Linked DNA regions of Drosophila melanogaster. The protein of the gene in region 2 interacts with the protein of the main gene of each other region in a pairwise test. Each region holds a gene or a part of one and is shown on either strand. Other genes may lie near its edges.

Region 1 (8,853 bases), on a different chromosome or scaffold from region 2:
GCCGTCACGGGCGCCCAGTGCGGCGCCATCTCGGCCAGATCCATAAGGCAATCTCTTATGGGGAAATCCGCGTGAGTAACCACCAGGCGGTTGCACCGGCAACGTCATCAGCGGTGGCGGATGCGATCGGTAACCGGGCCGCTCGCCGTGATCGCCATGACCGTGGCCTCCGCGCCGGAATCCTCTGCCGGATCCTCGTTCGCCCCTCGGATGCACATGGTGGTGCGGTGAAGCTGGATGCGGATGCGATGGTGCTGGCGGCGCGTCATCGTTATCCCGCCAATCACCTCCAGAATTGGACGACTGCTGTTGCCAGCCGCGTGGCTTTTCCCGCTGATCGTGCTCCAACCAAGCGGGCTCGTTTTTGATAGATGGCCTATCGCCGCCAGCGCCTCCGCCTCCTGTGTCCGGTCGATCCTCACGATCGCGTTCGCGTTCCCGATCGCGCTCTCGTTCCCGCTCTCGCTCCCGCTCGTCCGCATCCCAGTCGGGCTCCGAAGCAGAATGGTGCTGCTGCTGCGAGGGAGGTCCTCCGCCCGCATGAGCTGGGGGTTTGCCCCGCTTGGGTCCGCCAACAAAGCCACCCGGTCGCCCAGGGGTTCCACTAGGTCCGCCTGGGCCGCCACCAGCTCCCTCCTCCTCCCACTCGCGTTCCCACTCCGGTCGGAAGTCGCCACGGGGTCCAATATTACGTTCCCTTTCGCGGTCACGTTCTCGTTCCCGATCACGCTCCCTGTCCCGGATTAGACGTTCCCGCTCGTCCGGATAGAGGGTGTCTTCCGTTTCGAGGTCACGGTACTCGCGTCCTTGCAGCTCTCGTTCCCGCAACTCGCGTGCCTCCAGCCAGGCTTCTCGTTCCCGCGAGGAATAGCGGGCATCTAGATAGGCGCGTTTGTAGGCTCTAAAATAAGGAATTCCCAAACAGCGGATTAGCTAATGCCGATTTCGTGGCCATAAACATTAATGAGAAAAGGTTCCCGTTCTGCTACCTAGTTAACTATGTTCTAGGTAACAGAAAAAAGTAACCAAAATGGTACAGTTTCAGCTTTTCGTGGAATAGTTAAGTGCAGAACCTAAACCTACCTCTCCCGCTCCTCCTCGGAGTACAGTTCCCGCGGATCCCGCAGTCTGGGTGCATAATGCTCAGGCATGGGACTGAGGTCCCTGCGCCGATACCTTCGCATCTCGTCGATCAGCCCGTGGCCGTGTCGTTCCTCCAGATACTCTTGCTCACGCTCGTAGGGATCCAACTCGCGCTTATCGCGGACATGACGCCCGCTCCGTTCGCGCTCTCGTTCCCTTTCGACGGTGTCCAGCGATCGCTCCCGGCTGCCATACGGCGGAAGATCCAAGTCTCGACCGGGACCACCGCGTTTACCACCTTCCTCTTCCTCCTGACGACGCAACTTTTCGCGAGCCAAGCGTTCCCGCTCCCGTTGACGTTCTTGGCAGCGAGCCAAGGCCTCAGCGCGCTCCTTATCCCTGGCTGCCTCCCGTTCCGCACGCTCGCGCTCCCGATCCCGACGATCTCGCTCCCGCAATGAGAGATCGTGGCGTTCGCGCTCTCTTTCTCGTTCTCGCTCGCGCTCCCTTTCCCGCTCCCGTTCCAGGGACGGAGTACGTCCACGTGCGCGGGTCTGGATGATGATCTTCTCTCGCGACATCAGTTGGTGATGCATTCGCGAGGATGAGCTGCTGCTGCCGCCTCCAAGACCAGAACCTAAACCTTAAAGTCAAGCAAAATTAATGGGTTAGTGGGTTGAGCCTAGACATAACTATATGTAGTATCTGATAGTTACCTGGACTCTTTTGCCGCTTACCCACGATGTCCTGATGGATGCGAATCTTGGTGGTGGTGGTAGTGCTGCTGCTCGGCGGACTCCTACTGCTGCCCAATCGATGATGGTCTCGCTCTCTGTCTCGTTGGACGACGCGCAGCTTGTCCCGCTCCCGTTGCTCCTTGCTGGCAGCCCGTAGCCTCTTTCGCTCGGCCAGCTTCTTTAGCTTGGCTCGCGTCGTCGGCGACAGGGAACGATGGACGTGACCACTGAGGGCGGCGGCCGCCCGTTTCTTAAGGCGCGCTTCCTTCAGTTTCCGTTTGATATGATTTCGCTTGGCCACCAGCTTCTTTTGCACATGATCCCGTTTGTCTCGCTTGCGGCGCGACGACGATGGTTCATCTCCGGACGAGCTGCCGCCGCGCCGTGAGCTCTTCTTTTTGCGATGATGACGCTCCGCGGAGCGCGGATGATGCCCATGGCCGTGGGTATGGGGATGACCGTGGACGCTGCCACTGCCGCCGGGACCACCGGCGCCACCAGGTACGCCCACCCCCACGCCGACGCCGCCCACGCCCTGCTCGCTGTCCGTGCTGCTGTACGAGCTGCTCCCGCTGTCGGAGTCCGAGGTGGAGTCCGAGCTGCTCGAGTGCGTCGCACTGTGACGGGCGGCCTTCTTGTAGCGGCGCAGCGACTCCTTGGCCTTCTTCTCCATCGCCGCGATCTCCGCTAGCCTGCGCGCCTCCGTTTTGGCTGCTTTCTTTTCGTACTCCGGTCGAAAATCAGCACGGCTATGCGGCTTATAACTAGTTGCAGCGTGTCTTGTGGTATAATGTCCTTGTTCGGAGGCGCGGACTTGCCTTGTTGTCTATTTTGTTGGCGTTTTCTTTAACTCTTCTTCTTCTCTATTTTCCTCTATATCTTCGTGTTTGTTGTTATCGATAGTCGATTGGCAGGGCATCGCGACCATCGATTACAGTCAGCACGGCGGTACATATCGATCGGTATAAGTTTGAAAATATTGTTTATTATTGTATCACATTATTATAATAAAATATAATTAAATAATTAAGTGCCTTTAACTATAAATAAATATTAATTTAACATTAAAAATATTATTAAAATTAATAATATTAATTAATACTTGTATTTATATTAATATATTGTATTTTTGTAACAATTTCTGCTTAAAATGAGTTCGGTTTTGGATTGAATTACAATTTCTATATCAATTTACCGGTTCAGCAACGGGGATTCAAATCTGACTTGTTATCCATTTTTATACCCGTTACTCGAAGAGTAAAAGGGTACCCTAAATTTGTTGAAAAGTATGTAGCAGTCAGAAGAAGGCGTTTCCGACCATGTACAGTATATATATTCTTGATCAGGAGTCGATCTAGTCATGTCCGTCTGTCCGCCATGTCCGTACCTAGAAGGTTGAGATCCAGCATACAGATTCTAGAGACAAAGACGTAGCGCAAGTTTGTTGATCTTTTTTCGCATTTTTATTAATCTTGTAAATTTCTATCGATTTGCCCAGAAAATGATAAAATTTCGCGTTCTCACATCCACTAGCTGAGTAACGGGTATCTTATAGTCGAGGAACTCTCTTTAGTTGATTTAAATTCCACGCATCCAAAACATTGTATAAAGCAGCCTGTTCTACTACTCAGTTAAACTGAACTTTTCATTTCGAAAAGATTTTCAAATCCAGCTGGCTATGCCTCTAGTGTCAAGTCGTATTACGGGCACTTCACCGGCTTCTCCTCAGTTTTGCTACACAGTTCGACACTTCAACACCTCAACACCTCAACACCTCATCGCCTCGGCACACATTCTCTCTCAACAAAAAAAAAAAAAAAACACATATATTTTTATAAGTACACATTTTAACTTAAAGTCTCATTCATTCGCTCGAAAACCGATGAATTTGTTGCGCCGGCAGCCTCGGCTGCTGAATAAACGGAGCACGTGGCTGTTTAGAAATTACGTGTTGGCCAACAGGGATGTGTCCGAACCCGTTTCCCGTCCTGCGGCGCCTATGTCCACCCTATCGATACCCGGACCAGCGCTGGCTGCCGCCACCCCAGTATCCGCCGTATCCCTGGTACCCCGGTGCACCCACTCCAGCCTCCAAGGAGGTGGACAAGGAGCAGGTTAGTTCTAAGTGAAAAGTTTTCTGATTCCACAATTTTCTGGGTTGTCAATGACTTTGTCATAATGACATTTCATAAATGACACCTGCACTTATTGATATGCTTAACTGAAATTTCTATATTCATTAAAGGAGGAAGAGGGCTCAGAGGATCAGCCACCGGAGGATCAGCCGCCGGAGGAATCGCCACAAAACGACAGTACTCCGGAGGAGCAGCCCCCGCCGGAGCCGCCAAGCCGGGAGGAGCAGCCCCCGCCGGAGCCGCCAAGCCCGGAGGAGCAGCCCCCGCCGGAGCCGCCAAGCCTGGAGGAGCAGCTGCCGCCGCCGCCGGATCCGCCAAGCCCGGAGGAGCGTCCACCGGAAAGCCAGCTTCGGGCAACGCACCAGCAACGCCTCCACCTCCACCACCTCCTCCGCCTGCTAAATCTGCACCCCCAGTGAAAGCGAAGAAGCCGCGATTGAAGACCTTCGAGATCTACCGCTGGAAGCCCGGGGATCAGCCGCAGACGCAGACCTACGAGGTGGACCTGGAGCAGTGCGGCGCCATGGTGCTGGATGCCCTGATCAAGATCAAGAACGAGATGGACCCCACGCTGACCTTTAGGCGCTCCTGTCGCGAGGGCATCTGCGGCTCCTGCGCGATGAACATCAATGGAACAAACACCTTGGCCTGCGTGTCGTCCATCGACCAGAATGAGAGCAAGTGCTGCCGCATCTATCCACTGCCGCACCTGTATGTGGTGCGGGATTTGGTGCCGGACATGAGCCAGTTCTACGATCAGTACCGCTCCATCCAGCCGTGGCTGCAGCGCAAGGATCTGAAGCGGGAAGCTGGAACGGCACAGTATCTGCAGTCCGTGGACGATCGTCTGGTGCTGGACGGGCTGTACGAGTGCATCCTGTGCGCCTGCTGCCAGACCTCCTGTCCATCATACTGGTGGAACAGCAATAAGTATCTGGGTCCCGCCGTCCTCATGCAGGCCTATCGCTGGGTCATTGATTCCAGGTGAGTGAGGCCATGTTGCTGCCAGTTTCCCCAGTGTGCTAAGATTTGCTTTGCAGGGACGAGGCCACCGAGCAGCGACTGGACTTTCTCAAGGACCCCTGGAAGCTATACCGCTGCCACTCGATCATGAACTGCACCAACACGTGCCCCAAGCACCTCAATCCGGCTAGAGCCATCATTCAGCTGAAGCAGCTGCTTGTGGGACTGAAGAAGAAGGGAAAACCACAACTCAAGACCGACGCCCTTTTCGCGGGAAAGGCGTAGGAGGACAACGAAATATCGACATAACGCCATGGGACTTAATAGATATAGATATAGATATACATATGTAGCTATAGTTATAGATATAGATATACATATGTAGCTATAGTTATAGATATAGATATACATATATAGATATACATATACATATACATATACACATATACAGATACATATACATATACATATACATATATAGATATAGATATAGATATAGATATAGATATAGATATAGATATAGATATAGATATAGATATAGATATAGATATAGATATAGTTATAGATATAGTAGGAATTAGGAATGCTATACTGTACACACTGGGCAATACACCGATACATCCTATTAACTACATTTTAACCAAGGACCTCATGGACTTTACGTTAGATAGGTGATAATAAAAGAAAATCGATGTGATTGAATCGAATATTCTGGGTAGACTTTCTAAAGAATGCTGCACAAGATCGTCTTCTATTAATTGATCAATTGAAAGACAATCTTTACAAATGCCATCATGGGTACAAAATAAAGAGATCATCGGGCAGATGGATTGCAGTTGGACAGATGAATCCAACTGATACCAAGAGCGCCTAGCATCTCCATTCCCCTCTTCGTAGATCCAGATCCCAATCCCTACCCCGATCCCGATCCCGATTCCGATTCCGTGTTTGTGTGCTATTTCTGCGCCGCTCGTTGCAATTAAGTGGGAAAATGCTGTTGCAATGTGGATGTTAATGCTCGTGTCTGCACCAGACGCATCCAAACAAATCACACATAAAGAATGGAATCGGATGAAATGAGCCACTTCCCACACTTGAAAAAATTACACGGTGTGCTTGAGCACGAAACTTTCTTAGTACATTATTTAAAGCAAACAAATTTATTGCCGTGCAGGCCAGGAGATTTGTTTTCCAATTGGCCTGGAGCAGGAGCAGGAGCAGGAGCATTGGAGGGCAGTGAATGAAGCCAACTGTGAAAACGGTCCAAACGTCTCGATGGGCATCTATAAATACGCCACCGCAAATCTTCCGCCGGGCAGAAGAATCGGAGACGGAGTCATTTCGAGTTCGGTATGGAATACTTCGATGTTGTTTTCTTTAAAAATAACAAGGCCCTACGAACTTGTCAGCAGCCGTCGCGAAAACGGGGGAAATGAAAGCAAGAAAAGCGGGAAATCTTGTCACGCTCTCATTTACACAACTTGCACTTTTCTTCTCGTTTTCTTCGGTTTTCTAATATACCCTTCCGACGAGTACTTCGCCTATCATGTATGTGCAAATTTACTTTACTATTTAGTTAAATGTATGGAGAACCTCTTTTGGAGGTCCTTCGGATTGTAGAAATATTTTAGCATACTTTTGTACACATTACTACGAGCTTTTTTATAGCCTCTTCTAATGTCATTTATATTTTTGAATGAAGTAGTGTATGGAAATCTTCGCCCTTTACCATTCGTCACTTAGGCTCGTATTTATTTCCTTGGGCTGTGCGACAACACTCAATCGCCTTGACACAAGCTGACAGGCACAAATCAGATGAAAAGCCTGCGGCAAGAGCTCCGGGAGATTAACCAAAGCCAGTTGATCCGCAGCTTCCCATTCTGCTGCCGCTGGAGAGAATCATCATCATTCTGGCCGATTCTCCAGAAGCTTAGGCCATCAGGAACCGCGTGGCGAGGAGACAATTAAAACGCAATTCCAGCAATGCGCCTGTTTGCACCTGCCGTCCAGATATCAGCGACAAACGACATTGTCAACAGCGAGCCAGTCGAGCACGATGATTACACTAGTCAGCAAAGCAAAAGATATTCGATATAAAGCCTTATCTTCAAGGGCTATTATCTTAAGGTATAATGATCGGTTATGGCTCGAAAAAATATGTTTAAAAGTAGCTCTTCTGATTTTTAAATTAAATAAATGAAATAGTTGATGCAACTATTAAACTTTGGTAAAATATCACACTTGATATTTGTATTTAAATAAAGTAAGTACAACTATATGATTGACCAAAGTTCCTGTTTGGTTGTGCAGTGCCCTTAAAAATAAATACGTCTCACACATGCAGACTCCGAAATACTTGGAGCAAATTATGTTGGACTAAAGTCCCTGGCTCCTCCTTTGTCGCATTTCCAAGGTGTCGAGGCCGCTGACAATGTGGAGCATTCCCCCAAACCCCAGCAACTCACAATTTAAGCTGTTAAGCCGCCGCTGACGGCTGACAGGTGGCAAGGGGAATCGGAATCGAAGCATCCGAGTGCCGAGAAACAGGCATTTTCCAGGCACATTTCGTCATAGACGCGTGCTGGAATTAGCCGCGTGCGAAAGGGAGGGAGAGTCGGGCAGCGAAAGAGATAGGAAGCAGAGCCTGAACCAAAACGCAAGCAGACGCTTGATAATACCTAGATGCTAACTATCCCTAGCAATGCGAATAAAATGCCAGTTTAATTGACATGGTGACCCCGATTTGCAAATTTTTTCCAATCGGAGAAAGGTGATTTTCAAGTGATGTACTTTATAGAGTGGTCACATGTTAACTTAATATTATGTTGATTATTTATTAGCTTGGTGACCCCGATCCAGAATTTTTAGCTTGTTAATGATGACTACAGTGGCTTATCCTTTTCTCCTGAACGCATCTGTTGATTTGCCATTTAATTTAACAAATTCAACTCAAAAACGCTATGTTACAGCACTGCAGCATGGGAACGGTTTCCTGCTTCTTGATGGTTAATTTGATTGCAACGCTGTTGTTGCCATAGTTACAGATGATATAAAATCCACAAGATTTATGGCTTTTAAATTTCCATTCATGCCGGGAGCTGGCTGATTGTTGGCATCCAGAGACAAAAGCGGATGCACAAATCAATTGTCATTTGGCATGGAGTGTTGTCGACGAGAGTAAGTCACTTGTAAAATGAAGTTTTTAATTAAAAATGCCCACCACTGATTGTCTACTTTATGTCTTGATGGCTTTCTTAGTGCCTTTTCTCCTTTTATCGCTGACAATCGCTTTCCTTTTACTCTCCTTTGAAATGAAAGCACCTTCGAGTCGGTTGAGTTTCCTTACTTCAGCTAAGATCATTGGAATTATTCGTGATCAGTCATCGCTCGACTATTGAAAGAGTAAGACCCCCAAGCTATTTAATCTCTCAACTTAAATATATTTGCCATTCTATTTTCGAATCTCGCAGTCATTTTGCTCAAAGGGAGAGAGCATCTTTCGAATAATATTGAAAGAGCTTTTCACTCATTTTGCTCAAAGTATATTGCTTTAGTGAGTCACATATGATTGATGATCTAATGATTAATTAGGCATTTTATCGTTTTAATAATTGACAATAATAAAACCCCGTTTAATATAACTCTGAAAATGATCGATGAGTTCTTGTACAGAGTTGAAAATGGAAGTATAAACAACGTAAAGCATGATTAATGCTCTTGATCAATCAGATCGATAAATGTTGATACCGATATGTTGGTATCGATAAGATGTCCCGTTAAATTCGAACCCCCCAGTTGTTCAGTTGTTCCGAGGGCATCTGAACTTGGCCGATAACTTTTTGGCGCAAAGCTTTGGCCCCCGTCAGGGCTGTTTCTCTGTACCTTTCTCTCGCCAATACTCTCCGGCTGAATCGCTTGGATATGTAAATGAATTA
Region 2 (8,005 bases):
CGCCAACTCCAGCGCCAACTACGATGTGGAAATCCTGCACAGCCGAAGGGCCCACTCCATCACCTGTGGCCCAGATTTCAGTCTACCCACGAGCATCAAGCAAGGTGCCACATACGAAACAGTGACTCTTAAGTGGTGCACACCGCGCGGTTGCGGCTCTGCAGATCTACAGCCCTGTCTGGGTCAGTTCCTCGTGACACCGGTGGACGTCACCTCGCGGCCCAGTTCTTGCTTGATTAACTTTCTGCTTAACGGACGTTCAGTCTTGCTGGAAATGCCGCGCAAGACCGGCTCAAAGGCCACCAGCCATATGCTTTCTGCACGCGGTGGCGAGATCTTTGTGCACTCCCTGTGCATCACGCGCTCCTGCATGGATGAGGCTCCATCAATTACTGATGGCCCCGGAGGACGTGTCTCGGACTATCGCACCGCCGAACTTGGTCAACTGATCAAGATGTCGCGCGTGGTTCCGCTCAAGGTTAAGGATCCATCTGCTCCGCCCTTGACGCGCCGGTTGCCTCGCTACTTCCCCCTGACCACCAGCTCTTCGATTCTGTTCCATCTACAGCGACACATCAGTTGGCTTCCGCATTTTCTCCATCTTTTAGTGAAGGAAGACATGGATAAGCAGGACGAGGTGCGGTGCCAGCAGCACATTCACGAGCTGTACAAAAGCGCCTCGCGTGGCGATGTCCTACCATTTACCCACACCAATGGAGCAAGGTAAGCAATTTATAGATATCTTTTATATATTTTCAATTTTTTATATTTAATTAACTCATTTCAGACTAAAGCTTTCCAAGGCCAAAGACCAGTACCGCTTGCTGTACAGGGAACTGGAGCAATTAATTCAACTAAATGCCACCACAATGCACCATAAAAATCTGCTGGAAAGCCTACAGAGTTTGCGAGCCGCATACGGCGATGCCCCGCTGAAGTCGGAACCTGGAGCAAGTCTCCTGCGCACCTACACGGAATCCCCACTCTCTCCCGAACGGCTGGAGCCCATCAGTAGCGTCGGTGCTAGTGGCAGCAGCAGCTCCAATAGCCTTCTCAAGGCGAGCAAGCGTCGCATGTCTAGTTGTGGGCAAAGGTATGTCGTATGTATGTATTTCTTGATAGAGTCCTTAATTCGCGCAATATTTGTCCCCAGATCCCTGCTAGATATTATATCCTCAGCAGAGCGAAGCCAGTCCAACAAACGATTGGATTTCTCGGGACGCCTTTGCACTCCGTTGGGTCAAGTGGCCAAGCTGTATCCGGATTTTGGTACCAAGGACAAAGACACAGTTACGACGGGGGCCAGTATTACGCCCAATGTTAAGGAGGAATCCGTACGTAGTTAAAATGGCACGGAGAACGCCGAATTTAAGCTGGGACTGTAGTATATATATATATAAAAGAAACATAATCATTTCCTTAAACAATGCTTAGTGTACGGCTTAATAGGAATTAATTTGAATGTAAAATGAAGTATTTTTCTGAGTTTCGTATAATCGCTTCTTTAAGACTGGGACAACATTACTGTGGAAGACGACATTATAATTCCTCTATTTAAGCTGCCTCAAATTGGATTAGTTTATGATTCAAACTGTTTGTTTAACTTAAGAAAATATAAACATGGGCCAATGAGTTTTTTTTAACTTGTGATTGTGATCTTTGGCACGGTAATAAAAACGAAAAGTACCCAGAATATAATTATAAATAAAATTCGTTTATTTATTAAACGGATTTAACTATTGAATTTAAAATTTCGAAATTGTCAAATTGTCAAATTTGTGGCCAATCAAAATATCGTTTTCTCCTTTGGTGTTTTATAGAAAAAATTGTATTCAAACGCTAAATTCTCAGATCGAATTTGATAATATTTTCCAAAATTTGTGTAATCTTTGGCAATGGCGAACAATTTTAACACGAGAAAAGTGATGCAGGTAGCGGAGGAGGGGGCACCACCTGTTCACAGTGAGCATCGATATTGATTATTGTAATATGCAGAGTATTGACTAACTTTTCTTCGGTAAGTTCCCATAATGGTTGGCAATGAGATTATTGTGCTCACCCAGCAGGACATTCGTCGTGTGGAAGACACGCGAGTGATAAGCTACAGTCGTGTAGGACCCAACGGGCAGTTTCTTCCCTTGGATACTTCTTCGCCAGGTGCGGTTTATTTCCCCCCGCCAAACACCACGCACTTCTGCACTTTGGATGATCTTCTCCGCAATGCTTCTGACAAAAGGGTCTGTATGCGAATGGACATCGAAGAGGATGTGAACCCTGCAAAGTCGACCAATGATACATGTCTTTTTCTACAGGAAACCTCGAACCCGCTGAAGACAGTTGCAAGTGTGTCTACTCAATTGGTTTGGTCAAAGAAAAAGTCGGGATCTGAACACCGTTTACCACTTTGCTACGATGCCGGCACCTCGACATCCGGGTTGATGACAAACACTGGATGCCAGCACTGCCCCAAGTGCGAGACGCAGCACTCGAGCTGTCAAACTCAAATGTTTGCCAAAACGCAGACAACTGTGGAGCGCGAGATGCCTCGGAATGCGAGTTGCCAAACGAAGGACACCGCCACCCCAACTAGAACTTCTATTGTGAAGGCTCCACAGAATGTGGGTTGCCAAACTCAGAGCTGTCTCAGTGAAAATACCTATATGAAGAACGAGCCCGCTAACTCGAGATGCCAGGCTCAGCGCAACACAAACTCCACCGGGTGCGGTACATATAGCGACCTATTTGAAACGACCTCAGCAGAGTCTTACACATCAGCTGAATGTGATTACACTTCATCGGTGGAAAGCACCTGTCAGCACTGTAAGTCACAACCGACCTGCACGGATCAGACGTTGATAGTACCAATGCAACCTCAAGTTCAGTCGCCCGTACCACCACAGGAGCAGCCTTGCACATCTAGACATATCCGCTTTGATCTCTGCACCCAGGTTAATAACTTTGAACCTCATGTGGAACCTCATTTCTATAGAACGATACCGTTGGGCCAAAATCCCTATCCGCGAGCTCAAGTCTCCAAGCCATCAGTCTCCAAACATACGGGTTGGACGAATCTCAATCCTGATCACGAAATACTTCAGCAGGAGCTCAGTCAAAACGCGTCCATAAGTAAACATCAGTAATGCTATAGTTTTTATATCACCGTTTTTCGCGATTTCTTATGCTGCTATATGCCATTTTTTTTTAAACCAAAATTAAAGCTATTTTTTTAACTTAGTAACGGTTTAGCTACATATTTCTATAACTATTTCAAGACCTTAAGGGTTGAGCTTTTTATTAGGCGTTTCCTTTTGGGTAGTGCTTTTTTCCCGGTGCCCTTGCGTTGCCTATGCTTTTTCGGCTTTGGCTTCGACTCCTCCTCTGCCTTGTTGGCATCAAAGTACCGCATGGGCTTCTGATGCTCGCGCTGTTCCCGTTTGAGCTCCTCTGGTGTGGCGATGCGCAGGTAGAAATCTTTCAGTAAGAGTTTGAAGTCCTCGAGCAGTGTTTCCTTGAGAACTTGAACCTTTTTATTACCACAAGGACTGCATGCCTGCAGCTCTGTGACCTTAAATGGCTTTGCAGCGAATTCCGTTGGTGGCCGCCATACAATGCCCAGTTCCTTGCCTCCGTGCGGATTGTAAAAGAACGCAGCAAAGTCGGAGTATGCAGACTAGCGGAAAAAAGAAGGGAAATGAGAATTTTCAAATACAAAGCTGGCTGCTTTATAACATCTTACTCTTAGTAGTCCCACAATTCGAGCAATGTAATCTGATCCTGCGCGGGGCAAGCTAAAGTTTGGCTGGCTAAATGAAACAAATGGTGACCCCAGATCGTAGCTTAAGGAATTCGGCACGAGATCTGGCTTAAATTGGATAACCAGATCGTATCCCTCGTTGGAAGCTCGAAATAATTGGGCCGGCCGCACAAACCTCAGATCTTTCGACATCAGGCTGGTTTCAATAATCTCGAGCGCATGGCGGGCCAGTCGCGTCACATGTCCAAGCACCCGTTGACTGGGTGACTGATCCGAGGTCCACAATCGTCCGGCATGCTGCATATCGTAAGAGGTGGCCACAGCCAAAGGAGGATAACTTTGACGGTTGCTGCGGTAGTTGTGCTCCAGATCGGCAATTTGTTGTTCTTGAGAACGTAAAGTTGAATTATTTTATAACATTATGGAGTGGTAACAAAGAACTTACCCTGCCAGCTATTGTTGAAGTTTAGCAGGAAGAGTTCGCCATTAAAATCGCTATGGGAAAGCAGCTGCAGGAAACGTATGAATCCAGTTTGAGGTGCCGCTATGGACTGCGGTGCATACCGCTGCTGAAAGAGATGCGCCACCAGTAGCTCAGTAGCCATATCAGGCCACAAGCCATCGTCCAGCAGTTGTGTGGCCAGCCAGCGCTTGGCCAACAGCACAGTGGAACCAAATGCGCTGTAAGTTTGATGAAGCGAATGTAGAGCCCCACTTACTTTGGGTAGAATATAATGTTGACGCTCTAAGGAACGACTGGCTGCATTGTCTATATATGTAGTTATGCCACGCTCAGTAACTTCCTGCTTCAGCAGCGCCAGCTCCTTGTTGTGTGCCAGCTCTATAAGGAAGCAGTAACCTTGCTTGAGTACGAGCAGACCGTCGGCGGACATCACCCAATGAAGCCGGCACTGCGCTTCCAACTTTTCGCCAATTTCGATAAGAAATGCAGTTTTAAGAGCACGCAGTGCACCAAGTTCAGTGGGCCACTTGCCGCTTTGCCCGAGCTGGATTACCACACGCTGAATGCTGCTTGCCAGGATGCGGTTTTCTACCAGAAGCGCCTGTGGGAGAACGGGCTGCGGCTCGCAGTAGCGGAAAATGGGCGAGACGCCTGATATGGAGACTATCTCTAGAGGAAGATCATTCAGCCCGTGTAGTTGGCGTGCCAACTCATCATAGCAGCGGATGACGTGCGGACTAAGTGCCTCTGCGTCGGTATCTTGACCCAATGGCAGCTTGGTCTTTAGCTTATTGACCTTAAACCAAGGAGACAGCTGGTAGACTTGGTCCAACTCGCCGCCAATGTATTGTACTTCCTTGCTGTCCAGTTGTAGGTGATGCTCCAATAGATGCAGCACAATCTGGCGAACAATTAGTCGCTTCTTGGCGGGTGAATCCTGGGCGGTCCCCCAAACCACAGCTTCTGTGATGCTGCCATCCTGAAACCGACGTAGGTTTGATTTCTCTCCCCAGAACCGTCGGAATTCCTCAGCTCCCTCATGATCATCGTTGGCAGCAGGTCCTTTGTTTAACACCTGGTATGCGTGCTCTGGCTGAAGTATAAGGCCCAGTTGAATATACTTCCCAATAACGGGCGCTTTTTTTTCCACAGGCCAGGCGGCTGTCGCAGTTTCTAAGGGTAGTATGGAGTGGACACGTTCAGCAAGTCCCTTTTTAAGGAGCCTAAAGTTATGATTATTATTTCTTTGTAAGTTGCCTGTTTAGCTTAGTTAACTCACTCAGTCAGTAAATGTAGCAGCTGCGGGTAACCATAATTAGCAAAATCGTACTTAATTCGAGGATGCGAATGCAGTGTAAGCATTTGATTTATGCATGAATAATTGGAAATCCTGGGGAAAAATAAAGTTTATAATTGAAAAACTAACATTTTAGCTTCACATACTTTAAGATATTATCCACCCTGCTGTACAGTGGACACTTTTGCATAAAGATAAGCGGGAAACTGTTTAGCTTCATGTCGTTCAGTAGTTCCACCGCCAGTTTGGCCTCCTCTCGAACTCTCTGATACAGGTAAAGCGGAATATTTGCGCATAGATTATGCTGTCCAGTGAAGTCTATAAAGCAAACGTCATAGTGTTCGGCAAACTTGTTTAATTCTTCCGTTTGAATGGGAGCAACAGACAGGCTAATGCCTTTCGTCCAGTCCGTGTTCGCCAGTTGGTTCCATACAGTGCGTGCCACTTGGTAACTGCTGCTTGACTGATGCAGAATGCGCTGCGTATTTAGGTACACAATAAAAGCGGCTAAGATGTGGGCACCAAACCCACTGTAACCTATGTCCAGTTGCCTCTGACGCAACCATACTTTAAGGAGCAGCAGGCCGTCCTGAAAATTACGCCTGCTCTTAAAGGCCTTATCCAATTGAGCCTGGTTCTCGGACAAAGTTAGATCAAACAGTACGTTTGCGTTGTAGTGTTGGGTGGAGGGCAGCGGATCTTTCTCGTCCCATTCGTCACCGTAAAACGAGGGCCGAATATTGTTGTTCCAGGGAACAAATCTGCCTGGCTTAAAACTGCTTAATGGGGCAGTGATGAACAGACGCACTTGCAGGTGCTTGTTTACTTGCTTAGTAACTGGGATCAATTCCAGAACCGGCTTAAGCGGGTTGTTAGCATAGTAGTTGAAATTAAACTGATCTTCTGCATAATCTGGGGACTCCATCATCCTCTCCGTCACATAAGTAAGATACAAAGCTCGCTTCTGGTCATAGCGAAGGTTTAGGTAATCTTCTTTGTGCAGGGATTCTTTTGGCATCTCCAGGGCCACATCCACTACAATTTTGGGACCCAGCAAAGTGCCCGTGGCGGCGGCTCCGATCAGATAAGGTTCCCTGGTGGGCTTGGAGAAAACAAATCCGGTCGGCTTTTCAGAAAGCTTCATTGGAACTTCCAAGTGGGTACGCTCCATCAAGCCATCCTTTAGCTGTCGGGTAAAGGCCGTAAAGGATTCAAGCCAGTTTTCAATGAAATCTGTGTATTTCTGCTTTAACTGCAGCTCCTCCAGCATTTCCTTAACTTGAAGCTTAAAGAGATTGGAGTGGAAGAGATTTTGGGTGTCTCGTAGCTCCTTCATCTCCTCCAAAGTGGGCGGCTTTACATTCTTGGTACCTTCTCTCTGCTTGAAGTTGTTCTTCTTTGGTATGGCAGTGGATGGTGGGTCGCTCTTGGCGATTTTGGGTTTTGGTTCATCAAGGTCGCTGTGATCCCCGGCATGTGCAATTGCTTGGGTACCTGTTCGAGCAGCTCCCTTCGGAGAGCCCACCTAAACAAAGTATGTTATAGGCCAAATAGTTTCCATAAAGATCTAGACAATCTTACCAACTTTCCTGGCATGATGTTTCCCTGTACAAATCGCATATAATATAAAATTTATTTACTTGTTGGAGAGAGAGCTAAACTCGCACGTGTTGCAGATGCGGTATTTCAGAATTCGGTATTTCATTAGAGGTTTTTGTATGGTCACCCTAGAACTGGGCAGATTCGTTTTTTAGTCCCAAATCAGCCGCAAAAACAGTGTCGAACGTAATTATAATTAAAATATTGAAAAGGTTTTATACACTAAATAAATTAGAGCAAAATATATTGCATGGTACACAGTTGTTGAATAAGTTACAAATTTAGACAATGTGAAGTGTAAATGTCTATACCAATTGCCGAGAAATCCTTGGATCCAGGACCAATAAATAAGATAAAATTTATAATATTATAAAAACAAATTATCAGTTAAACGCGAAAGATATTACCGTGGGCCTATACAGTTTTAAAGAGTAGATAAACAAATTTACCGGCTAATTGGTTTCGCCAGCAACAGTATTTTAAACAGTATTTTTATTTCATAATTATGTTTAAACATCTTTTATGTAAAGAGGGCTTTAGGTAAGTTCTGTCTTTAGCACAAGTATATAAGTATCTGTTTAAAATAAACGGGAAAAGCTAATTAAATTATCCCATTTTTCTTTTACCAGTAATCAGCATTAAATCAGCCTAGAGTATTTCCCTCGTTTTTCTATACGGTCTTACTCCGTCTCTGTCCATGTATAAGCGTGTGTGTGTGTGTTTGCAGGCAGGGGAAAAAATCGCACCATTTTTCTCGTGCTCTCTTGCGTGCGTTTTTTGGTCTTTCGAGGATTGTTTCGTAGAAAATCAGTTAAACACAAGCCCAGCTTAATTTATAAAAAGTAGTGAACTAAGTTGTTATCCAGAAATCGACGAGCGCACAGTAGCAAAT
Region 3 (8,529 bases), about 10 Mb from region 2:
TAAAGTACAATAAATTAATTAGTTATTAGGTAATGATACTGTCGGTTCTTTTCTAAAATTATTAGATTTTGTTCGCTGATTGATCCACTTTCAGGGACCTCGCATATCCTCCGTAGCCAAAGCCACTGGCAGTACCACCACCCCCACCTCCTGCGGCAAAGTGGGGACTGTGGGAGTGACCTCCATCTTCGTGAGTGACCGAGTGCGAGTGGCTGGAGGTGTAAATTGGTTTAGCCACTATTTCGTATGTGGTGGACTTTCCCCCGCCACCGGCCAAGCTCTTTAGACCGAGGACTCCAGACAGGGTCAAGGCCATTAAAGCTGTCATCAGAGCCTTTCCGGCCATCAGAGCGATGGCCCCGAGGCCCATGGCCATAAGCATTCCCTTCATCATGACTCCAGCCGCCACTAGGGCCTCCAAGCCTCCTTTCTTGCCGAACTTGTGCTTGCGACCTTCTACGAGGGACTTGTCATCCAGCAGGCGAAATCGTAGGAACCGCGTTCTCAGAAGGTTTTCCAGTTTGGCTACTATATAGCCATTCAAGCGAGTGCTCGGGTCACTGGGATAGCTGCGAGCAACTTCTGTATATTGTCGAAAGTTAAAATTTTTTGTCTTTATTTTTGTGTTTTCAAGAACATACCTGCCATGAGCTCCGATGTCTTGAGTTCGGTGGCGTTCTCATCCTTGACCACGCTGATTCCTGGCAAAACGTTTAGTTCCTCCTGTTCGGCAAGCTTTTCCATGATCTTGACAAACTCGATCTTGAGGCACATCCAACTGAAGGAAGATGCTTCACAGCCACTGAGAAGGCTCTCTGCCCTTTGGGGTATTCTAATGGTTTCCGGAGCAACTGCAGGCACTTCGGTGGGCTGGACACTGGCAGCCGTGGCATATTTGCACATGAAGGCGAATAAGGCCAAGTAAAAAAGATATTTCACGGTCTTGGTCAGCAACATCTTCGCTATCTACTGCAATGGAGACTGTTTGTGAGTCTGCATCATCTCGATTTGAAGGCCTTCGCTTTTATACCCGCTGCCACGGTTTCCATTCGCATTTCCCTTTCACCAAACCGTACTCCGTCCGTATTGGGGCCCTTGTGCTTTTCTAATTACTCAAACGATTTGTGGTCGAAATTCTTCCCAGCGTCAGTCAGCTGCGTCCAACTGGGCGGCACTTTCGCTTTCCTCTGCGCCAGCGGAGGTCGGTCTTGCGAAACGGCCGGCTAATTCTGTCACCAAAAGTTCCAGCCAATGAATTCCCCAAGAGTCCGAGAAGAAAACTCTCCCAGACTCGGGAGTTCAGGTAATTACAAGTGCCTGATAAACGTCGCGTGCCTCGGACCTTCATAAATTAAGACCCAACATTTTGCCTGCCTAACTGGGACTAACTAACAACTCATTGTTAATTATTACTTCATTTTCATTTGTGTCTGACCCAGCGTCGTTTCGCTACTTTCTTTCCTCGTATTGGCCATGAAGAAATTTATCTTTCCACGCCGAGAACGACCTGTTTAATATTCAGATTACATGCAGTGCTAATGACCAATTGGTTGGTCGACTTTTGATTTTCGCTTTTTGCCTAGCAGGTGTCTTATTTCCCAATCTGAGCTTATAGTGGGTGCTTGGAACGATTATGCAATCTACTAGACTACTACAGTGCTCACTTAAAAACAGTGTTTTTAATTTTATTAAAACATTTTTGTTGACAAAAATATTGTTTTCAACATACTCTTATATGCTTTTATACGTTGTATTTTTATTGTAAAGATAAGACAAGTTATTTCGGGCATAATAAAATGAATTTAAATAAATATTTATGTGAAGTATGTGACAATCTTTTGTGTGTTGATCCTTTTAATTTTTCTTATGAAGCTTATCCTGATGTACTCTGTGTCGTTGTGGTTGTAGTTGTGGTCCACTTGTTCCTGAATTTTTCTCCAAATCTTTCGAACAATTTGGTTCCATTGTTATTGAAAGGCGGGAATCGGAGCTGTCCAACATTTTCCACTTCCTCAACCACAGGGGCAGCTTCGATTGGCTGCTCGGTGTTCACAGCATCATCTTCAGTTATGAGGGGTTTTCCATCATCCTCGACAGGAAGTGCCCAGGCCAAGGATACCAAAAGGCCAACAATCAAGGCGAATTTAATCTGACAGCCAATGAGTTTGTTGCTTAAGCCGTTCATATTGATTCTGTTGACTTTTGGTCAGCATGAGTGGTGTTTTTATACCAACGCCAAGTGGGACATTTGATTAAACATCAATTAGGAAGTTGACGCAAAGAAAGCCACGGGCCCAAACTCAACTTTGCTAATATAATTAAGTGGAAATGTGTCTTCAATGGATTTGTTTTTGCAAGAGGTTCAAGGAAAGTGTTTAAGTAAAAGCCACTAATTTCACTTTCCAGCTTGATGCTCACACTCTTCCTAGTGATTTTTCAGAAAATACCTTTGAGACTCAATAAGGAAGCTTTGAGCCGGAAATTATACAAGTCATTGCCTTTTTAAAAGTATAATACCTGTACATTTCCAAAGTTTCCGACTCGGGCAAAAAGTTTAAAGATTCTATGGTTTTGCATTTGATGAATCATTTTTATTCAATTGCTTTAAGTTGTACGAATAAATACTTAGTAAGTAAGCTCTTTAGCAGGCATAATCTTCGTTGCTTTCGATGAACCTGAGTGACATGTACGACCGCCAAGAGACATGTGGATGGGGAAATGTGCAATAATTATGGCGCAATCATTGATTGGCCGTAGTATCCTTAAGCATTGTCCTTTGGGCTAGCCAAGAGTCGAGGGACCGTTTCAATAGTTCTCTTTTTTTGTGATTTTTTTTGGTATGTCGCAGCTAACTAACTAAATGTAACTAAATAATTATTGACTACGAATTAGGCCATTCTTCAGGAAAGTCTTAGAGGGATAGGTTGTGGAAATGGTGATGAAGTGGGGGGAAGTTGAAGAAGGGAGACGCTTTGGTAGGATAAGATATAGCAGGTGAAAGATAGAGGCTAGTACAGAGTGGGATGGATGGATCGGTGGGTGTTTTCCGGCTTAGAAGGGCTGGGCCAGACCATAGTGGTTGTAGGCCAGATCGGCGGCACCTGCCTGACCATTGCGGCTCCAGTCGGAGTGCACGATGTCGGCGTTCAGCGGGCTGCCGGTGATGTAGGCAGTGGTGATGTGTTCCTTCTTCTTGGCCAACAGATCCTTGAAGAAGGTGGCACCTGTGCGGGAAACGTGGGTAAAAAGTGCTATTCCTGAGATCATTAAAAGTAAACTCACCAGCCAGGATGAGGGCCAGGAAGGAGATGGCCAGAGCCTTCAGCGAGATGAACTTGATGATGGTGAACATAATCTTGACAACGACGGCCTTCTTCAGCTTCAGGGCCAAAAGAAGGGGCAGCAGCATCTTCTTCATGCGCTTGCTGCGGGACTCTGTTTATTCCGGGAGGGAGAAAGTAAAGAGAAATCGGGGTTTTAGCCATGCTCCTAAAAGTATTCAAGGCCTGGCAGTCGAGGTAAAGCTTTCACTTCGCTTCCCGTCAGCACAACTGAGTATGCTAGTAGTTTTGCTTTTGGCAGTTGGCTTTCTGCACAGCAGAGTGGACCTTAGTACGTTTAGCCTTAGTAAGTAGACTTTGAAGTGTTCGTTTACCGTACAGAACAGGAACGACTTGAGAGCCAGGACGGTTTACCAAAGCTATTCTCGTATGCGCACGAATGCCTCTGTTTTTGTAGTAATTAATAAAAATGTAACTTATAACTCGTTTAAAATTATTTCAAAATTCTTTGGCTATCAACTCACGTATTTACTACCATTCTATCGATTTATGTCTCTCAAAAACATACAAATTTTTAAATTCTGACCTAATATTAAGTATCTAAGATATTCAACGCAATATGAAAACTTTAAAAGCAAGTAGCTTAAATAGCTTTTTTTTCTTTGGATTAAACTATATTCTGTTTTTCAAATAAAGGAAACCAAGATCACTCACCATCCATGGCGCGTCCGGTGTACTCGTTCTCGGAGTTCTCGTCCTGCTCATCGCCGGAGAAGGAGAGGTTTAGCTCGTGGGTCTCCAGGTAGCGCTCGGCGCGGTCCTCGAAGGACTCGACGGCCTTGGATGCACCGAAGCTACGGCCCGACTCCGACCGGTCGATCCTCAGACCGCCGAACAGCGCGACGGACTCCTCGCTGTCTAAGCGGTTCAGCATGTTGACCAGGTCCCGCTCGGTGTTGTCCTGGGAGGGAAGGGCCATGGAACCGCACACAAGGCTGGCCAGCAGCACTACACATACGAATTTCGCGCACATTTTTATTAGCACTTGGGGGTGTCTTGACTTTGGGTAGGTTATAATCCGTGGGACGGCTGCCTGGAGCTGGTGAGTGCTGCCGATGTGAACGGGAATCGCTTTGTGATTAATTGAATGCACTGCCCCCGCGTTTTATACCATTTCGATTTGACGTCGATTGACCAATTTTGTGGCTAGAAATCGCGTGGCAGGCCAAAAATCCAAAACGCACCGCTCGCCGCTGCAATAACAATAACAATACCGAACGGCAATACCAAAAATCCAAAAGCAATTTATGCAAAGCATATGCGTATGCTACCTGGCCGGCAGTTTCTTGACCATATTTCCACGCACGTCGCGATGTCAACGAAAGGGAAGTGGCCAGTGGTCGGCCGGCTGAATATTATTTTTTTGTATATACCATACATATATTTTATATAAGCAAGTGGCCCGATTTCGGGTGCTCGACCGTTATCCGTATCCTAATTGGCATTCAATGGAGTCGCCGGTGCTACGTGTTGGGATTGCCTGCGCCAGATTCTTGGCCGGTTGTTCCTCTCCATTAGCTCCATCAGGGCTCACGATGGAGCGGAGAATATAGTGGTGGATCTGCGAGACCCACACGTATTTGGTATGCCCCGCCGGTGGTGACTTAATGCACAATTTGGCCCAGTTAGTTACTCTGGCGCTTTCAACGCTTTCGATTTCATTCTCCCTTTGTCAACTGTCGTTCGTGGCTTGTTTTCTATTTCAATTGCTTCTAAATCTGCCTGTGAAAGAAAGCTGAATTGTAGCACATCGCCGCATATATCTCTTTTCAATCGCAAAGTGACACTTTTATGAGCATAAGTAGAAAGTTTCTGGCAAACAATTAACATGCCGAACGGCCGTCACATGGCCACTAGAAACTCCAATTATGAGCAGGCCACCAACTTGCCAAAAACTAAATCCCCAGCTTATCAGCTCTTTTTCTCAACATTTTCTGTGTTCTTTTGGGTTTTTTTTTGTGTTCAGAAACAGAACCTGCCACAAGTTTTAATTGCCAGCCGCAAACTTGTTGCCGCCCAGCGAGCAAAGTTCCACATATTTGTTTTGGGGTCTGTCAGCATTTCAATTAAGCCCTGGGAAACTGGGAAAGTCTCTGGGCACAGGTGAGCACTGTCCACGTGCGTGGATTTGCGGATTATATTTTTTTCGGGTGCAATACTCTTGGTTTTATTCATACATTCGACTTGACTTGCGGGTGATGTGTGCGTGGTGTGTCAATAAATTAGTTAATTACATTTCGAATAAATTACTACAGGCTAAAGGTTTCAAAACGAAGGCACATCTGTTTGAGCTGTCTCCCAGCCGCTTCTACTGCTGCTGCTGGCCGGCGTAGGCCAATTGCTGGGCATCGGACCCATCCTCGCTGATGCTGCGGGCATAGGGATAGGACGAGGAGGCTCCCGAGCTCCAGCCGGCGCTGGCGGGTGCGGACCATGCGTTCGAGTTGTAGGCTCCGGCAAAGGAGTTACCTCCGAACTTGTTGCCGAATCCGCCCAGCAGGCGGGATCCGCCGACCAGAATGGCCAGGAAGAAGGCCAGCTTGGCCACGATCACGGCCTTGAAGGTCAGCAGGGCCAGAAACCCGAGCACCAGGGGAATGACGGCGAACAGCTTGGCGCCAATGGCCAGAGCCACGGGTCCCAGCATCTTCTTGATCTTGCCACGGCCTGTGATTGGATGTTAGGTAACCATGTTTTATCGTATCCCAAGTCAAAACCCACCTTCATCGAGGGCACGAGCCACCTGCTGGGTGGTCTCGGCGGGCAGCTTGAACTCCAGGTTGTGGGTGCTTAGGAAGTCGGCGGCACTAGAGACGGCCAGATCCACTAGACGACCAGTACGCTCATCGGCATTCTGGGGCAGCTCGGCATAGACATCCTGCTCGCTCATCGATTTTCCCGTGCGGGAAACGGGACTGGCGGGATCCCTAAAATGATATTGTAAGTTATAAATACATTTTCACATTTACTTAACTTTTATGACAACTTATATGCCGAATGCCTCTAATGTCTTATTATACCACTTTTAAATTTACTGTCATAATTTTTGGAATTATGTAAGAATTCCAATAATAATTAACATTAATTATGAAGTGTTTTTAGCCTTAGCCTTGGCTCACCATTTAAATCTATAAAGACCATAAAAAATGGGTATCAGAATATAACTATCTAATAACTAATTTCTCTAAACTTATTTTTAATTGCCTACATATCTTGATATCATAATTTCATTTTAAGTATCTTTCCTAGTCAACTTTTGTGATGCAATCACTACTTTAACTAACACGGATTGAAGATTTCATCTCGGGCACGTTCTTCTTTTGGTTACAGTTTCGCTTTCGATTTGGTTTTTGTTTCAAGAACCAGGCACTTTCACTGTTAAAAAACACACACCTCTGGAAGGTGACTCCACTGGCCAGCTCGATGTTGTTGCTCCTGGCGGCGCGGTTGAGTGCGGTGATGCCCTTGACGGCCAGGCAGGTGGCCATGTCGTCGCTCTCCAGACAGGCGCCCAGATACCGGGCGGCCCGGCCCAGGGTATTGTCGCCCTCGACCTGGTTGTCTTGAACACTGGGCGCGGCAAAGACGCAGCTGGCCGCCAAGAGGGTCACACAAGCGATGGCAAACACTTTCATTTTCGATCGATTGGTATTTAGACGCGGTTAATCCTTGCTAATATAGCTGATCCGGGGTTTCAATTCTGGGCTTCGGGCTGCTGCTTTTCTGAGGGAGCGCTGAGATGAGTTTGATGTATGCGTCTCCGGACATCTAGCCTTATATATTGGGCCTCTCGGTCGGCGTCGCAGTCGGTGCGCATTACAAAACAATTCAAAAGTAAATTAAATAAAGCCCGGCGAGAGACGGCGGAAGTTATGGCCAAGACGCGAAAAGAGCGAACTCCGAATTGGAGACAGGGCCCAAAAAAAGAGTCACAGACGCAGCCGCATAAATCTAGAGAACGGCGGGGAAACAAAGTCAACTTGTTTGTTAAGTGAACATGTTCATTTCGGTCTGCCTTTTTTTCGGCAGCGCCGCTCCGGCGACGTCGTCATCCGTCAACGTTGGCGTCGCGGAGAGAGAAACTCGTACTTGGACTTGGTCTTGGTCTTGGCCATTGGCCAAAAAGGGGCGCCCTGGAGTAAACAGTCGGCCCATTGGCTTAGGTCTGCACAGCGACAAAAATCAGCTGGCTTACATAACCGGGGTGGTCCACGGTATCACTTATAACTGCATTCCTTGGGCTGTCTTGAATCCTAAAAAGTCTCAGATTATTGAAACCAAAAAGTGGTGCTTTGGGTCCCCACGGACACGCCTTCAATGAAGCTGGGGCCCTGGTGTTTACCGGTGGTCTGAGCCCTCGGCTTCACGTTTGCGCCCAGCTTTCATCAGACTCTCGCAATGGCCAAGTCACATATTTGCTAATTTACTGACGCTTCTTAACCGATCCGGTTGCCGTATATTTCACGCAGCCCATTTATGAACGCAAAAATGTGTTTTTCTCTTTCTCCGGCATTAAATGGGTCAGTCTTATTTGCCGTAGTTGTTTTTTTATTGTTGGGATATGGTGAAATAGTGTTTAGCACTTCGATGATTGAACTGGACTGTGTGGCTAATGTGTCTATGTTGTAATAATTGAAAGTTAAAAGGGCTGTGTGGATGGAGAAGGAGGTCATTGAGAATTTATATAACAAGCTGAAAGGAATTTGCACTAACAGAATGATAAATAACCTTAGTGCAGGTGCTTAACACAGCATTTCCTTTATCTTGTATGTTATCGATTCGTAAAGGAGCTAATTTTTAAAGCACATACACACATATTCTGAGAATGAACAACAACCAAGGTAGGAATGTGAAATTAGTATATTTACATAAAACAAGATATTAAAAAAGGTAAGGAAAAAATTGCACTTCTTAGAATTCAATTCGATTTTTCCAGTTGACAAGGATAATTTCATTTGCATGCCTTCAGGCATATCAGTATTAATTCACTATCTATATCTCAAAAACAATTTCCAATGAAAACCTAAAGGAAGTGTGAGAATGGACAGGCAGAATTTGAACAGTTGCCTTCTTTGGAATTCTGCAAGCAACACGCAAATGTATTATATCTAAGACTAAATCTGCACTCAATTCCCCAAACGATATAGTTTCTCTAGCGACCTGAGACATTTATACAAAGCAAAGCCCA

Evidence for each region.
Region 1: the proteins of Mst89B (region 2) and SdhBL interact in a two-hybrid assay, tested with the Drosophila melanogaster proteins (one large-scale study listed by BioGRID).
Region 3: the proteins of Mst89B (region 2) and Osi15 interact in a two-hybrid assay, tested with the Drosophila melanogaster proteins (one large-scale study listed by BioGRID).

What each region holds. Positions count from the first base shown.
Region 1 is NC_004354.4:18,890,960-18,899,812, forward strand, and holds SdhBL (succinate dehydrogenase, subunit B (iron-sulfur)-like), read left to right. Parts: upstream 1-3,486; 5' UTR 3,487-3,702; coding exon 3,703-3,934; intron 3,935-4,065; coding exon 4,066-4,939; intron 4,940-4,995; coding exon 4,996-5,203; 3' UTR 5,204-5,622; downstream 5,623-8,853. Other genes in the region: Flacc (Fl(2)d-associated complex component), read right to left, coding at 1-901, 1,084-1,726, 1,800-2,493.
Region 2 is NT_033777.3:16,265,201-16,273,205, forward strand, and holds Mst89B (Mst89B), read left to right. Parts: upstream 1-1,811; 5' UTR 1,812-1,895; coding exon 1,896-1,962; intron 1,963-2,022; coding exon 2,023-2,237; intron 2,238-2,312; coding exon 2,313-3,140; 3' UTR 3,141-3,233; downstream 3,234-8,005. Other genes in the region: asun (asunder), read left to right, coding at 1-723, 788-1,093, 1,154-1,346; Mat89Ba (maternal transcript 89Ba), read right to left, coding at 3,263-3,670, 3,737-4,140, 4,200-5,440, 5,497-5,607, 5,661-7,039, 7,096-7,134.
Region 3 is NT_033777.3:6,297,698-6,306,226, reverse strand, and holds Osi15 (osiris 15), read right to left. Parts: upstream 4,424-8,529; 5' UTR 4,315-4,423; coding exon 3,996-4,314; intron 3,436-3,995; coding exon 3,283-3,435; intron 3,225-3,282; coding exon 3,052-3,224; 3' UTR 2,574-3,051; downstream 1-2,573. Other genes in the region: Osi16 (osiris 16), read right to left, coding at 62-582, 642-957; CG46396 (uncharacterized protein), read right to left, coding at 1,874-2,185; Osi14 (osiris 14), read right to left, coding at 5,650-6,008, 6,063-6,268, 6,735-6,976.